Linked DNA regions of Bombyx mori. The protein of the gene in region 3 purifies or fractionates together with the protein of the main gene of each other region. This does not show direct contact. Links are inferred from orthologs where the notes say so. Each region holds a gene or a part of one and is shown on either strand. Other genes may lie near its edges.

Evidence for each region.
Region 1: the proteins of U3 small nucleolar ribonucleoprotein protein IMP3 (region 3) and something about silencing protein 10 purify together in Homo sapiens (affinity purification with mass spectrometry; 3 studies listed by BioGRID and IntAct, with this or other methods). This does not show direct contact. The link is inferred for Bombyx mori from reciprocal best matches to the Homo sapiens genes IMP3 and UTP3.
Region 2: the proteins of U3 small nucleolar ribonucleoprotein protein IMP3 (region 3) and U3 small nucleolar RNA-associated protein 25 homolog purify together in Homo sapiens (affinity purification with mass spectrometry; 3 studies listed by BioGRID and IntAct, with this or other methods). This does not show direct contact. The link is inferred for Bombyx mori from reciprocal best matches to the Homo sapiens genes IMP3 and UTP25.

What each region holds. Positions count from the first base shown.
Region 1 is NC_085114.1:10,761,635-10,767,224, reverse strand, and holds the start of something about silencing protein 10, read right to left. Parts: upstream 3,431-5,590; 5' UTR 3,394-3,430; exon of another isoform or gene 3,069-3,393; 5' UTR 2,454-3,068; coding exon 2,437-2,453; intron 1,013-2,436; coding exon 1-1,012. Other genes in the region: protein disulfide isomerase Creld2, read left to right, coding at 4,162-5,286. UniProt on the Homo sapiens protein: Essential for gene silencing: has a role in the structure of silenced chromatin. Plays a role in the developing brain. Part of the small subunit (SSU) processome, first precursor of the small eukaryotic ribosomal subunit.
Region 2 is NC_085131.1:5,807,230-5,812,834, forward strand, and holds the start of U3 small nucleolar RNA-associated protein 25 homolog, read right to left. Parts: upstream 3,431-5,605; 5' UTR 3,142-3,430; coding exon 2,707-3,141; intron 2,569-2,706; coding exon 1,969-2,568; intron 789-1,968; coding exon 546-788; intron 163-545; coding exon 1-162. UniProt on the Homo sapiens protein: Component of the ribosomal small subunit processome for the biogenesis of ribosomes, functions in pre-ribosomal RNA (pre-rRNA) processing. Essential for embryonic development in part through the regulation of p53 pathway.
Region 3 is NC_085121.1:982,125-986,920, forward strand, and holds U3 small nucleolar ribonucleoprotein protein IMP3, read right to left. Parts: upstream 2,354-4,796; coding exon 2,217-2,353; intron 1,915-2,216; coding exon 1,703-1,914; intron 1,664-1,702; exon of another isoform or gene 1,598-1,663; coding exon 1,422-1,597; intron 1,356-1,421; exon of another isoform or gene 1,226-1,355; intron 1,079-1,225; coding exon 1,055-1,078; 3' UTR 956-1,054; downstream 1-955. UniProt on the Homo sapiens protein: Component of the 60-80S U3 small nucleolar ribonucleoprotein (U3 snoRNP). Required for the early cleavages during pre-18S ribosomal RNA processing. Part of the small subunit (SSU) processome, first precursor of the small eukaryotic ribosomal subunit.

The DNA of each region.
Region 1 (5,590 bases), on a different chromosome or scaffold from region 3:
GTAATCATTCCCTTCATATTCTTCATCATCAGATACTCCAGTGTCTTCTCCTTCATCTTTTTCTATTGCACTGATAAGTTTCAATTTCTTGGGAGTTGATTCTGAAATAAGTTTTTCTAACTTGCGTTTCTTAGCTTCTTTTTGTTCATTTACTTCCAAAACAAGGTTGTTCTTCACAGCCAGAAGAATTTTATCTATTTGCGGTTTAATTACTTCCAAATATATCGGTTCCATTTTATTCAACATTTGTCTGTACTGATACAACCTTTTTATAACTGGATGATTTTGAATGTTTACTCGCTGACTCTTTAGAAGCAAATAAAAACTAATATTTGTACAATAATTTAGAATTAGATCATAGTTTGTTTTTACAAACTTTGATGCTGCACATTTTGGTAATTTGCCATCTTTTACTAATTCCAAGACTGGATGTAGGTTATCTTTAGCTACAGTAAGTTTTGTTTGGAAGTCATCAACAAGACCTGAAAACTCAGGACTTTCCTTTTCAAACAATTGTAGCTTTTGTCTTTTTGACAACTGGCTCAAATCACTTTTTATTACTGTTTCTCTTTCTTCAGCGTCTTGTACATGTTTAGTAAAGAAATCCAAGGTAAAATCTTCATCTCCAAGTTGTTCTAGCAATCTCTTCTGAATATTCTTAGCCTCCTCTTCTTCCATAAGAGCAGCTTCTTCATCATCACCGAAGCCTCCATAATCTTTGTCAACATAATCAGTGGCATAGTATGATTGTTTATTTTTGCCCCAAGCTTTTGAATCAGGTAAGTCATCGTCTGATTTTTCCTGTCCTTCAACATCACTGTCTGCTATTCCCAAATCATCCTTTTGATCTGATTCCTCGTCAGAATCAGAGAAAGCATACATTTCCTCTTCACTATCAGACTCATGTTTTCTCTTACGTACTTTATCCAATAATCGCTTTTCATTTTCAGAATAACCATCTTCTGAATCTGAAGGGGCATAATTCTCTTTTTGGTCAAATCTTGAATTTATTCTGAAAAGTAGATAAATTTCATGATAAAAAATAATAATTATGTGTGGTTTGGTTGTGACAACTAATAAGGAATAAGAATCAACTATTGCCTTTATGCAGTGTAAAGTATACAGCCTGCCTTTCAGAATTTACTCAACTTTAGGGTCGTAAGATCAAATCTTTTGCCAGGCTAAATTATATTGAAACAACAACTGAAAGGCTTCTCTTTTTAGATATTAAAATTTTTATAAGTGAGCAGATGTACTCCTAGCCCACACAAAACATGAATTCACACACCCACCATAGGACATAACATTAAAAGTTAAATTCTATAATATGAGGCCTGTCTTCCCCATTAATAAAACAGGGGATTAGTTTGCACCAGAAATGGTCAAGATAGGTAGACTTACAATACAGAGTGTATTCAACCAACAGTTACATATATACTTAGGAAAATTGGTACACTGGCAAATTCATTTTTTGCATAGTCACATCGTTTGACGTTAATAGATTTGTTGTCATTAAGCTACATGTGCAGAATAAAGCATACAGAAATAACTATGATTACAAGATGAGTTTGTTATAACACACATAATAGTGTAAGGAAAACTTCTAATAAGGCTTATGTGAATAAGTGATGGGAAATGCAACATCTGCATTTTGCATCTATTTTGTATACTTAGTGGGGTGGATTTTACAAACACCATCCTTACACTCCTGAAAATTCAACAAGGAGCTCTGCTTGGATAAAAACCTTCAGTTTAGGCTCCTAGCAGAAGTTCAGTTTAGGTTCCTAGCAGAAGACGGTCCTATTGTAAATAAATCCTATTTACAATAGGATACCTGTTGTAAATAAATCTTTACATGTTCCCTGACTAGCAATTGCACAAACTAATATTCTTATTATAATGGAATGCCTGGTTACTTAAAGGTAACCCGTTGCTTTTAGACTTTAGGTTGTTTGTTTACACCTTAAATTCGTAATTATATTGATAAAAAGATAATCTCTGAAATAAATAAAGCTTGTTACTTAAAGCAGACATTATTTTACATTTAAAGAAATAATGGGAGGTAACACTAGATTCAGTAATGTATACAATCAGATCGCAGTGTTTATTTTAGAAAGAAAAAAAACATCGTTTTCTGGTTATAAGGTAGTTCTTAATTAGATAGTATAATTATTCATAGAGTATCTCACGTGCTAGTAGTGTATGGCACTAATAAATTTTAAGTTATGAACATAAAATAGAAATTAACCTTAAGGGAACAGTTTTTATAAGAAAATTGATTTTGTGATTCTCTACATTTAAACTGATGGTGAGAAATGTGCTTTAGAAAACTTATCTGCATAGTGTTATTTGCTTATGTAAAAGTGTTATTCGTTTTATAGCATTTTATTCCAAATGGTTAAACGTTATTTATTTTTATAAGACAGTCATATTTACCTTATTTTATCAGCCATCACGTCGATATCATAAAGTTTTAAAATATTTTAAATTGAAACTAACACGACACTCCGCAAGGCTAAGGTTATTTTTGTAGCAAATTGAATCATTCGTGAATATTACATATTACGCATATTATTACCGTAATTAATGTACATACGGGACAAGAAATGAGGAAAGGTTTGAATCTTGGTACTCAACAGCATGACAACCAAAACTTTAACAAAAAGTATTTTTTCTTTTACAATGTCTAGAAATTAGCGATAGCCAATGTATGTAGGCTTTTCTTTTTTTATGGGATTTTATGACCTGGTAACTGAGACCTTTAAGTCATGTCTTATTTTAATTTATATTCATATTTTTATGAAAAATGATATTAAGGAGTGAAATTAAATGAAATTATTAATTTGAGACATTAATCAACTGGGATGAAATTAAATGAAATGAAATGGGATGAAATATAATCAAAGTAAAATGGTGGTCATTTACTAAGATTTTTTCAGTGGACTTTTTGACGGATCCCGAGAAGTTACGTCCAGCGGCTTTGTGTCATTTTCCCACATTTGTGCACTTTCACAGATATTAAAAAGTTAATAAACCACCATTATTACACATTTAAACCCGAAGAAACACTAAATAGACAAAATAAAACAAATCACACAACTTCACTCCTCGCGTTCCCGCCAAAAAGTCTCCAATGTTGGCCTAATCTATACCATAGATAATACACTTTATACTTTGTACTATGGAGGGTAGAGGTAAGGAGAACCGTCTCATATGGGAGGAAGCTTGAAAAAGCGTCCCACTTTCAGCACTAAATAATAGTTCAAAAATCCTCCAGAATGGCGCTAGCATATAGGCAGAGGTATAATATGAATTGAGCAGTTTCCTCTATCATATTCTAATAACTTTCAGCGCCTTTTTTAAAATTTACCCGGTTGTTACTGTAGCACTAACCTTACTTAGCAGATTTTAACGGACACTTTTTACACACAGAGACGGTTCTCCTTACCTCTACCCTCCATAAACTGACAGTAGAATTCATTTCCCAAAATGAAAGGCCTTATCACACAACAACATTACATACCTCAGGAGGTGACTAGCGCTTCCGCGCGCACTATAAATAAAACAATTTCTGTTAAAACAATTATTATAAGTTAGAGTAATAGAAGTGGGTCATACTTTTCTGGCGTTTAAGAACGCACTTTTTTGTGATGCGTAAGCCAGAGCGTACGAGAGGTGGAAAAAAGAAGATAGTCTGTGACACGGGACCTTTTTACCGCCGAAAATTTAAAAACGAAAAATGAAATATAATGTATATTAATTTAATATAAAACTCCGATTGTTTCAACTGTGATGTTAATTACATAAAACATGATTTTACGGCGAAATAAAGAAGGGACTCTGTATGGATTCCCTCACTTTAAAACCCAAATATGTAAGCGCCGCGCCGGGGCATTCCACAGGTTTTTAAAATGTCACTAAGTAAGGTGTCTCGTGTCTCCCCCTGGTACGCGCAGAGTAAGTAAATCTAGAAAATCAATATTGTGTTACACAGAGAAGAGAAGTCTTAACTCGATTTAGGTACTTTGTGACGCTGGCTTACCTACTTAAATTTGAATCAATTTTTAAATTTAATGGTGTTTGTTAAATTGCAACTTGCGAGTGAAGACTACAATATTAACTTGAATACAATACAAACACCTAGTTTCTACGAATCTCAAGATGCTTAATAATTTTCAATATTTAATGGACCCCAACTCTTACAAATATCTTTGGTTGTGCTTATTATTTAGTTGTCAAGTAATACTGTGTAAGGAAATTAGTACACCATCAACCGATAAAAATATTAATGTATTGAATGAGTGTCAGCAATGTAAAGTTCTGACAGACTCCTTCAATTACTGGTTTAAAAAAACATCACGAGGAAAATACGAAGGGGGCGATGTTGCTTGGGAAGAAGCTAAACTAAAAACCTATGCACGAAGTGAGGTTCGTTTGGTAGAAATTCAAGAAGGTTTATGTTCTGAACTAAAGGCTAATAAAGATCAATGCTACTCTTTAGCAGATGTAGCTGAAAATGTATTAGAAAACTGGTATTACAGTGAAGATCATGATACTGTTAATTTGTATACATGGCTGTGTATTCAGAAATTACAAAACTGCTGTCCTCTGTCCCATTATGGAGAATCCTGTTCTCCTTGCCCACATAATTTAAACAATGAAATTTGTAGTGGAAATGGTAAATGTCACGGAGATGGTACAAGGGAGGGCAACGGAACTTGCATTTGTAAAAGTGGATATTCTGGCAATTTATGTGAAGAATGTGCTGAAAAATTCTTTTCTGAAAATGCCAGTTGTAGACCTTGTCATGCAGCATGTGCCGCTTGTACAGGAGAGAGTTTAGATGACTGTATTACATGCAGTAATGGTTGGGAAATGCAAGAAAATACTTGTGTGGATATTAATGAGTGTGCATTGCCACAGGTATGTGAGAATGATGATTATTGTATAAATCAAGAAGGCACCTTTTTATGTGAAAAATGTGATGATTCCTGCAAAACATGTACAGGACCAGGAAGAAAAAATTGTTCAACATGCAGAGAAAGTGACATATTAATATCAGGGATGTGTTTGAATGAATCTCAAAAAAATAAAATTGTAAATGATGCCAAGAAAAGAGTTTTAACATATTTTGGATTGTTATTACTGACAAAAGTTACTTTCCGATCATCTAAAATTTTAGCAGCTGTGGTTGTCTTGTTTTCTTCATTTTATATATATCACACTGAGGATACAGCTGAAGTACCTTCAATAGATCTTTACATGCAAAGTTCAGAGTTACCATGAGTCATATAACTATAAGAAATGGATTTAAAATATTTTTTTATTTCAATATGACTTTTTGTTAAACCTTGGATGTACCAAATAATTGAACACATTGTGAAATAGATGATCACATTGTGTTGCTCCTAAAAGGGGTGCATGACATTGGGAGAGTAGTTGCATTATATTTGCAACATTCTGGTTCATGCCTTCCAAGTGGCCAAACTATATGGACTTCGAATAAAGAAAAAACAAAAATAAGATAGCCGTTAAATGCTCACACTACTTAATTTGTTAACAAGGGCGGATGATTCAAGGAATAGAGAAT
Region 2 (5,605 bases), on a different chromosome or scaffold from region 3:
CCAATTCTGCATTAAGAACACATCCGCTTGATCCATAATCAAAATTTCTATGGAAGCCAAAAAATCATAATCTCTGTCTTCCTCCCCTTCAGCTCCGACCAACATTCGTAGACCAAGTGGTGATGCGACTATGATGTCTGATGAGTAAAAATCTGTATATAACTGATAATTTAAATTAATTTACAATCTGATCATTAATTTTACATCCAGTCCCGTCCACATTACTAACTTCATTTGTGAAACAAGATTATGGGAAACAAACTGAAATTTAAATATTTTAATAAACAATTATAAATATACAAATTTGTTGTGTACCAATTAATTATTCGCTTTCACTTTTTCATACTTACAAATTTAGGGACAACATATACTGATGCATATTTAAGGAAAAAATGCAGTATATTTTTTTAAATGAAATGTCTTTGGTAAATATACTGTGTTGACAATTTTATGTGAAATGTGTGAATGCTATGTTTTGTATTACCTTTATTACTGTTCAGATTTCTTACTCAAAATTAACTTTGCACAGATAAATTTAGGTTTACCTTAAGACTTTTCTTGGTGACCGTCATGCCTATCCTGAATGTATCATCTGTGTTGCCAGTGAACATGAGTTCATAGTCCTCAGGCTTTGGATTTTTACGTGGCATGATAAGTTCACCTCCTGTAAACTCGTCTTCAAATCTTTTTTTATTGAGCACCTGACCAGCCTCTTTTGGCACCAAAATTTCCATTAAGGTTTTCACTACTCTGTAAGCTGCATTTTTGAATGGAACCATTACTAGTACCTTAAAATTAGAGATGTATTTTAATTGCAATTCAAACTTATTAAACATAACAACACAAATTCAGTATTTTCATAATTATAGACATAATTAAGGCTAGCTAGATCTCAAACTAATTTGTAAAAGTAGTTTTGTTATTATGTATTTACATTTATATATTAGAAATGAAAATAATAATCCCAATTTTAAATGGTAAAATTAGTTCTGAAAATATATTACAATGTTAAATTAGAGTAATTTTAAGCAACAAGAACTTTAATAAAAGTGAAAAGAGGAGTTACTAAGGATTCACAACCTTTGAATTATCTCATTATGTACTGGCTCAGACCATAAACTCCAATACGGTCACCACTATCGCCCCTCTCATTTTTTAAGTTACTAACATAGATTATAAGTAATTATTACTAACAAAATGTTATGGTTTTAAAAAAAAAAAAAAACACTGAAATAAAGTGTTAATAATAATAATAATTAAGCCTTCAAGCCAACTGCTAATTTTCAGCAACTAATAAAGGGAACCGAGTGGCCTATACACTGCAAGCCTATATAAGCCGAAAGATCAATTCTTTAGTTACAGCTCAAATTAGCCTCCTCATGTCTCTTAGCAAAGTTTATAAGGGTCTATCTACTCTGTGTGTCCTTCAAATACTTTTGAAGATTTTTGGATATAGACAACAGTTTGATGTGCTGTTATTCCCATGCTGTTATTTACTCTATTATGTCAGACTTTTTCAGTTTTTCATTGCCTTTGTAGGCAGACGAATGCACGGCCCACATGATGGTCAGTGGTTACCGTCGCTCACGGATATCAGCAATGCCAGCAGGGGAACAGCCTTAGAAAACTTCTTATAAATTTGTGTGTTTCTTGGCTTTAAAAAGTACTGTAAGCCCACACATTTAGACACAACTATCTTGCCTATTTTCTGCAGTTCAGCAATCCCAAGGTAGGATTGCCGTTATACAGTTTGATTGAGACTTTATGTTCATAACCTTATGCCTTAAAGTGGGGTGTCAGTGGAGGCATTCACATTAATGTCTATGGGCTCTAGTATGCATTTAACATCAGGTTGACCTCACAAAAGCTGCCATGCCAATTAGTAAAATATCTAGAAGTGTAATATCTGTAATTATCAGATTCATTTCAAAAAACCATAAAAAAATTGTCAGTTGCTAAAACTATTACCTTGGGACGAACTAATCCTTGATCTCTATAATCATCGGAAATATCATTTTTCTTTATCAATTTCGCATTATGATGTAAAATTCGTGTTCTGGTCTTCAGCATATGGTTGATGGCATGAAGACAATATATGTAACGAATTTCATCAGCATTACTAAATGTTCTTTCAGGGTAATACAAATCCTGATAGTTGTTGAGTATTGAAAAAATTTCTTTTTGTAATGGAGTTAAAACTTCAGATAGTTCAAGATCTCTCTTTACCAAACTAGTTTTATTCGCCGAGACAATGTTTCCATGTATTTGTGATTTTATTTTCAATTCTTCAAAATCAACCTTGTGAATAAGACTAGGTGCTGTACCGGGTTCAGCAAAAGTTTTATCTTCCAATAATGATATTTTAGCTTTAACTTTCTTTATTGCTGTTTCAATTGGTCTAGGTATAACAATAGTTATGTTACCAATCACTGGCCATGTCTTTGAAATAGTAGAAACTGTCATGGGCGAGTTGTTTAATGAAATCAGCAACTCATCAGGTAAATCATATTGTAGATGTTTTACGAACGAATCATCAGTTTCGTGGTCTAATTCTGTTTCAAAAGTAGCCTGAAATGAATGAAAAATTAAGAACTTTTTTCTGTAGACGTTTAACCTGCAAATATGAACTAATTCAATGTCATTACTTTACAATTTATTTTATAAAGTCTCTTATAACAATCAGAGAATATAACAAGTTTGACTTACAGTGTTATCAAAATCTTGGCCCTTTGCATTGTCTTCGCTATCACTATAGTCACTGTCACTCTCGGTCTTACTAACTTCCTCATTTCGAGCACGTTTACGAGCACAACTTTCAATTTCAGGGCTGGGGCTATCAGAATCTACTTCTTCGTCACTATTTACTACTATTGCGTTTGTTGGTTTACTAAAACAAGACACCAGTTGCCCGTATACATCTTGTTCCTCTTCGCTTTCAGAATAAGCTTCTTGTTCCCTTTGAAACTTCCGTTCCATCTGCTTTTTCTTTTCAAGCTCTTCCTCAACCTTTTGTACATTTTTGTATCGATTGAATTTAGCCTTTTTATTTGTAACATATGTATCATTGGAACTTTTTCTTTTCTTTTTACTAATGTGGTCTTTTATTGTCTTCTTTTTACCAAAGTATTTCTTTCCCTTCATTATTTTAAGTCAACAAGTCATGGGTATTAAACATAATATCTCAGAGTGCAACAAGTGTATGTATAACCAAAGATTTATACACTTAATATATTCGAGTCTTAACTATGACTATGAATCAGATGATTGGTAGGTAATTATTACGTACGGTAGTGATTACTGGCTCAGTGATTATTACTTAAATACGGTACCTATTACCTATTATATGTACTAAGTAAGTCATAGGCTCGTAATATCATAAAATAAACACTTATATCCGAGAGGGGAAGGGGAGCACTCACATGGAATATATTTTTTATTGAATTCATTCAACGGACACGCAAAGGGAACATAGCCCAAATACGGCCAAAATGATTTTATTGGAACAAAACATTTTAGTCATTTTTTAGAATGCCCCACTATTAATCTATTACTATTAACCTCTAAAATTTGTGAAAATGTACAAGTATAAAATGAAACCATGACTGTATTTTATTCGCGCTCATATAATTTCATTCAAAAACCCTTTTTCCACGAAGTATTTATGTTTTGTAAAGAGAAAAAAAGAAAACATAAAGTTATTGCACATCCAACCTAAATATATTCATTGAAAATAAGTTAATTTGTACAAGAGGCGCTCTTATCACTAAAATTAATCTTTAAGCGTGTTGGACGGTCAAATTTGAGGGGACTGGGTTCTGGAGGTGAGGGGCTATTTAAAAGCACTCTCTTCATGGTTAAAATAGGTAATTATATTGAAAATACTTTGTACACTATTACACCATTACAATATTTTATTTTTATAAAACTCTAAGATGTTGCTCTGACCGTGTCTAGATGAGAAGTTTTTGTCATCACATAAGAGAAGACAATTATTTGTTTTAAGCATTTAATTATGCATTCCAATATTCGAAAACCGTAACCTTACATGTGTCAAGTGTTGCCTGCCATTACTTTCATATTCAAACTCCAACAAAGCGTTTTTACTTAAATAAATTCTTAAAAAGATAAGACAGGTATCTTGCGATGTACTATTAACAACAATATTCAGAGAGATCCATAAAAAATGACAAAACGTTTAAATTTTAACCATTTTAAAGAAGTAAAATAAAGGTATACAATGATTATTAATCTAATAAATAATGTTTACTAAATTATATATATACCTATATCCATAATATCCATATATTTTATTTAGTTACTTATTTATTAGGCACACAATACACATCACAAGCTAAAAAGATACATAAAAACACAAGTAAAAAGAAACAAAATCTGGCTTGCAACATAAGTTTTGTGCGCACGACAAAACAAGACAAAGTGCTGAATTTGTACACAACGTTATTGTTATTTATTTTGTATTTAAGTAGATAATATTAAATAACTATTTGATGTTGTTTGTATGTACATCTATACCTTCTATAACTTCGTTCTTCTGTCATTGCACTATCGGCACGCTATGATGGCCGTTTTGACATATTACAATAGTGATGTGAAATAATTTATTCGCGAAAAAAATATAATTAATCTTTAAGTTTACTTTCTTCTGTGCCAGTTTCGCCATATTTTTCTTTAGTTATTCGTCTTACAATTCGTTGTCCAATATTAAGCGCATCAGCTGCGCGTTCAACCACTGACGTTACAGGTAAAATTGGCCCTTCATTTTGAGATTCACGATCGAAATAGTTTACGAAGGCGTATAACGAACTCACTGCTGAGTTTGTTTCGGTTCTTCTCAGGACTTTTGGAACCGGTGGTAGAGTTAACATTGTTATTTATATTTTGACATTCAACAAGTGTGTTATACTGACATCTAAGTTGAAATAAATGATTTTGAATTTGAATTTTGAATTCACGTGTCTGACTATTTAGAACAATTCTCTGCGTACGTTCGGCCATATCGACGAAATCCACAAGGCATAAACACTGTCTAAATTAACAAGCAAGGGTCAACAGTACTGCAGTATCAATATCCGAAATCCAAAGCCAGGTCAAACTACATCTAATACTACTAAGAGCGACCGGTTGGCAGTGTATCGCGTCCCGACCCGGCAGGCTGGTTCTGGTCCAGCGGGGTATTCCGGGGCACCAGCGGCACTGTCTGGGCGGCCTGACGGGCTGCCGTACCGAGACGGCCGACGTTTCAGAGCCTTCGATTCGCCTCGAAGGCTCCGTCGGCTGGGCGTCCTTGGGGTGAGCCGCGCCGTCTGGTTGTAGTGTTGACCGCGGGTTCTGACCTCGGAGAGGATCGGACGTCGGGTGTAAGAGTGCAGGGGAGTCGTTTAGTGGGTGGGTCCTAAAATCCTTGGGCCCGCGATCTGCTCTCAACACCTGCAGATCGTTGAGTCTCACATACCCCGCGCGCCCCGTATGCGCGGGGACCTCGTAGGAGGTTCGGCCCCCGGCCCGAAAAAAAAAAAAAAAAAAAAAAAATACATCACAATCGCAGTGCACTCAGAGAGATTTTCGAATCAACGTCAAGTCGAAA
Region 3 (4,796 bases):
AAAAATTTCAAAGTGTGTGTGACATGATTAATATCCATAAGGGGATTAATGTGTCTCTAGCGACACATCGATGATTGCTAACATGTGGGCATTGAAACGCCACAGTGAATTGCACAAACGTATCAAGGCATTTCGGATCCTCCCGATCCACTATCGGCGCTTTTAGGTACCTCAAGCACCGGTCAATGTGCTCGTCGAACTCGTCGCTTGCGACTAAGGGCTCGGCAAATTAACCCTCAGACACACACATTCCACTGAGTTTCTCTCCGGATCTTCTCAGAGAGTCGCGTTTCCGATCCGGTGGTAGATTCTGCGAAACCATGTTCTTGCCAGAGCTAGTGTTAGCAACTTCGTCAGGTTAGAGCCCCGTAAGCTCACCTACTCGCCCGGTGTTGAACTGGCATAACCCCTCAAGCATAGGCAGGAAAACAACACAAACGTATTTTTAAAAGTCAAACTTCGGAACTGCGGAAATAAAGTTAGCAACTTTTGTGACAGCTTGGAAGTTAGAGTATCTAGTGGGGTCATAGATTATCTAATTGAGATTTGCTGCAAACATTTTATGGTTCTGAGATTGCAAATAATGAAACTCAAAGCAGATCATTATAAATCAAACCCAGAAAATTATAATTTGCATAATTACTGGTGGTAGGTAGGATGTCTTAGATTTTGTTGTATTTCAACAAATATTGTAAATTTTTATAGCTTATGATCAAAATGGTTACAATACAGATCATATTTAAAGTAAACCATCAACACTGGTAGATCCTGTATTAAATGAAGTTTACCTTAAGATCATTGAAGTTACACTTTAAACAAGTTATATTGGTGGAATACTATACATAGAGCACAAAGGAATGTATGTATTTTATGATTCTTTGAAAGGAAAGAATCATTTATCTATATTTTAAATAAAAATGACTTCAAGGCGAAATAAAAATTTAAACTAAAATAGTGTGCATTAAAAAGTGTATTGGTACTTTCACTTGTTGTTGTGGTAACAGTACAGAATCTTAAAATAAGTATTCTTATATAACTAAAGCCTTATATAAAATTATAACATATCGAAGTCATCTCTCTGTAAAAGAAAAAAAAAGAAATATTAGTTTAAGTTTCTTCCGTTTTATCTATGCAAACACATCCATGTCTTTGTTAATGACAATGTTATAAATAATTGATCCCTATATAATGTTTTCATTTTTTTTTAATTTCATATCAAAACCAGTGTGACATTATGCTGTGGACAAGTTCTAAAATTTATTTAATGCATTACTGCTTTCCATTTAACAAAAGTTGTTTTTCACAACTATTCTAAACCTCTACGCAGAGCTTTTTCACAATTATATTATCAATATGTAAGTAAACTTAGAAATATGAATAAACATTAAAAAGTTTAATGAATGTGTATTGTGTATACTAACCATTTCATTATATTCCAGAACATGTTTTCTTATTGCTGAACCATCAACCCATGTAACAAAGTCCTCCAGTGATCTGTTGACAAGGAATGCAGGATCCTTCACTACTTCAGGTCCCACTCTTACATGTCCTTGTTCAATAAACTTTGTGGCTTCTTTAATAGTTTCTGACATTTTATCTGTGCATTTATAAACATCAATAATTATAAATGACATTTATTAATAAAAATGCAAATTCCAAGAAATATGTTATTGTAATGTTTATTGAAACAAGTGATACTCACTTCGAACCATCAACACAGGCAGCCTTCGCCTACAGAAAGAACTGGCAGAGACATTAGTGGCCAAGGCAAGATCCCATCTTGTCGGTATCAATCCAATTTGGTAAAGTTTTTCCAAAAGTTGAGCACTTGACTCTGTCCTGAATTCATTATTTGGATCGAGGTCTTTTATCTTGTTTGCGAGCTCTCTGATATCACGAGACAATTTGTTATACCTAACAATTCACACAATAATAGTTTTAGATTTATTATTAATTGTATTTTACATCAATTAATGGACAGTTTATATCTAAAGCGGCCAAATTCCCGCTTTCTGTGGAACCCTCCTGTAGAACCAGTTGTAAATTTAGGATACTAAAGTAAAATATTTGACTCAAATACGACTTCAGTGTGCTGAATTTAGAATTTAGGCATAACGACCGATATTCCCTATTAACAAAGTCTCAGACATTTCATTTAAATAAAACTGGCTGTCTCATAATATAATACATAGCTCATAATTGCAAAATTGCCTTACTTTGTGTAATCCTCACGCTTTTGTATACAAAACTTTTTCATAACCTTCACTTCACTAATATTGTTATCCAACTTCCATGATATAAAGTCTACTTTCTTTAGCAGTTTCCCTTCATGAAATTTAAGTTTTCTGACCATTTTGGGAACACCGAGCACAAGGATATAGGTTATGTAGTGTTTCTGCTTATATAAAAAATAATAATAAAATAAAAAATGTAACAGAACATTGATTATAAAGTCGTTTGTCAAAACCAATGAAGTAGGAAACCTATGGAAATGAAACGTCAACCAAAATTTCGTGCCCCTGTGACGTCATCTGGCCACAAAACATGGCGGCTTTAGTGCTGTACAAAAGATTTCAATGTTATCAGGTTTTATCGATAAACGTTCTTGGCTCATTTTATTTTAAATATTGTTGAGTATTATTTATTTGTAGAATTTATACTTTAATGGGAAGTAAGTAGGTATATTGTTATGTGCAAATATGATATGATTTAGATGGGTGAAATCTAAGACAAGTTCGTCCTTCGAATTTGCCAAGTAAACGATATGATGATTTTTAAAAGTTGCTACATTGATTTTATAAAGTTGTCGTTTGTCGCAAAACATAAAGATATGGCGTAGTTCAAAGCCATCAGCCCATTTCTAGCATGCTAAATGTTATCGTATTTTGAGTTGTGTTTTTCTTAGGCTATAACAATCTATTTTAATTGTTTTGCTGACTCTAAAGTCCGTAACATACTACCGCAGCGCACCCCAAGGAAGGTGCGCCGCACCATTTGAATCACTTTCGCTTGAGAGTGATTCAAATTTTAAACTTATCAAGGGACCGCGTGAAAAAAAAAACACCTACAGAACATTTATTCATTAATTACAAACGTCATTCCTTGTGACTTCCTCTCTAGAATCACTTAATTATGAAATATTTAACAAATTTACAATAGTGTTTTCCTCACTGCGGAATAAAACTATTTTATTTAAATAGTTCCGAAGAGATTTTGTCGGTAGCCTTTTTCCCGAAATATCTAAACAGAATGTCTAAATATGTTTTGATGACATATTTTAAAGTGGTATTTATGATTAGTGTCATGATCAATAGATTCCGACCGAAAAATGGATTTTTCGGATGAGGGCTCCATAATGAATTTAAATACATATAGATAATAGTTTTAGGGCATCGACTTTCTTGAGATCCTATAAAATACGTTTTAATTATTATTTTTGTATGTTTTAAGCATGATAAATTATGAAATTTTATATAATCAATCATATTAAATCGATATCAAAGTCAATAAATAATGTACAACCCAAAACAGACGGCCGAACTGACGTGACAATGACATTTGGCGCGCTAAACATGGCGGATTTTCGGCCTCATTAGACGGAGACGGAGATATTTACGTATATTCATGTTTCATTTTATGTACGCACTGAAATACTGTTATATTGTTTTCCTGCGAGTTAAAGTGCTGAGTAAGAACGAGATAGATATATGTTTATGTATGTGCCTTCAAAATGGGTGCTATTTATATAAGCAATTGTACGTATAGAACAATATGTCGTGTCCCTACTATATAGGTCTATGGTCAAAACTGAGTGGTTCTACGCGCTGGAAAGGCGAAGGTATCAGACCATACTCGCCATCTTTTAAATTTTTTGTTAAATAAAATATACAAGAGTGGAGAATTATATTATTATGTATGAAATGAAGCGAGTTTATTTATTTGGGACTATAATGAATTGTGATGAAATGAAATGAAACGAGATAAGATGGGATCAAATATGCTCTCAGTAAAATTGTTTTTAAGTGAAGAAACACTAAATTAAAATAAATATTTTTGTTTTTCTCTAAGCTATTTAAGCTCTCTTTTTCTCTAAGCTGTTTAAATAAACAGCTTAGAGATTTCGCGAAACAAGCCCAGGATATGAAGATATTATGTGTTTTATAAAACTATAGGTACGAATTACCTGGCCTAGTTTTGTCGCAAAGTACTCATGTGATCGAAACACCGGAGAGGGCTGTTACGATAATCGCTTAAAACCAGGTAGACAGATAAATTTTATTCACAACAAGTCTGATCGTGTCTTCATTCTATTTTTCTTTCTGAGATTTCCTACCTTTCACTGGGAAGATCCGGTGAGAAACTCAGTGAGCTGTGTTTGTGGGTTAATTTACTCGCCAAACCCTTCGACGTGAGCGACGGGTTCGACGAGAACGGCTACCGGTGCTTAAGGTACCTAAAAGCACCGTTAGTGGATCGGGAGGATCAGAAATTACGGGTTTTGAGACGACGTCGACTGTTTAATATTCAGTCTGGAAGATCGGGTATTAGTTACCGGCGGCTATTGTGAAAGGGCTTCCGCTGGCTAACCAGCAAAAACGTAGTTGGAGGGCTTGGGGGATGTCTATGTGGACGCGGGCCACGTGAGCAAACACCACACCCGGAGATGTAATAACGGATCGGTTTTTTAAAGTGTCACCTTGCTCCAAAGGTAGATTACACTCCACTTACAAATCATGGGGTGAAGCCTGCCGAGAAAAAAAACGTCGCTCGGTCGCGGGCTTTATGTGTCATCACCA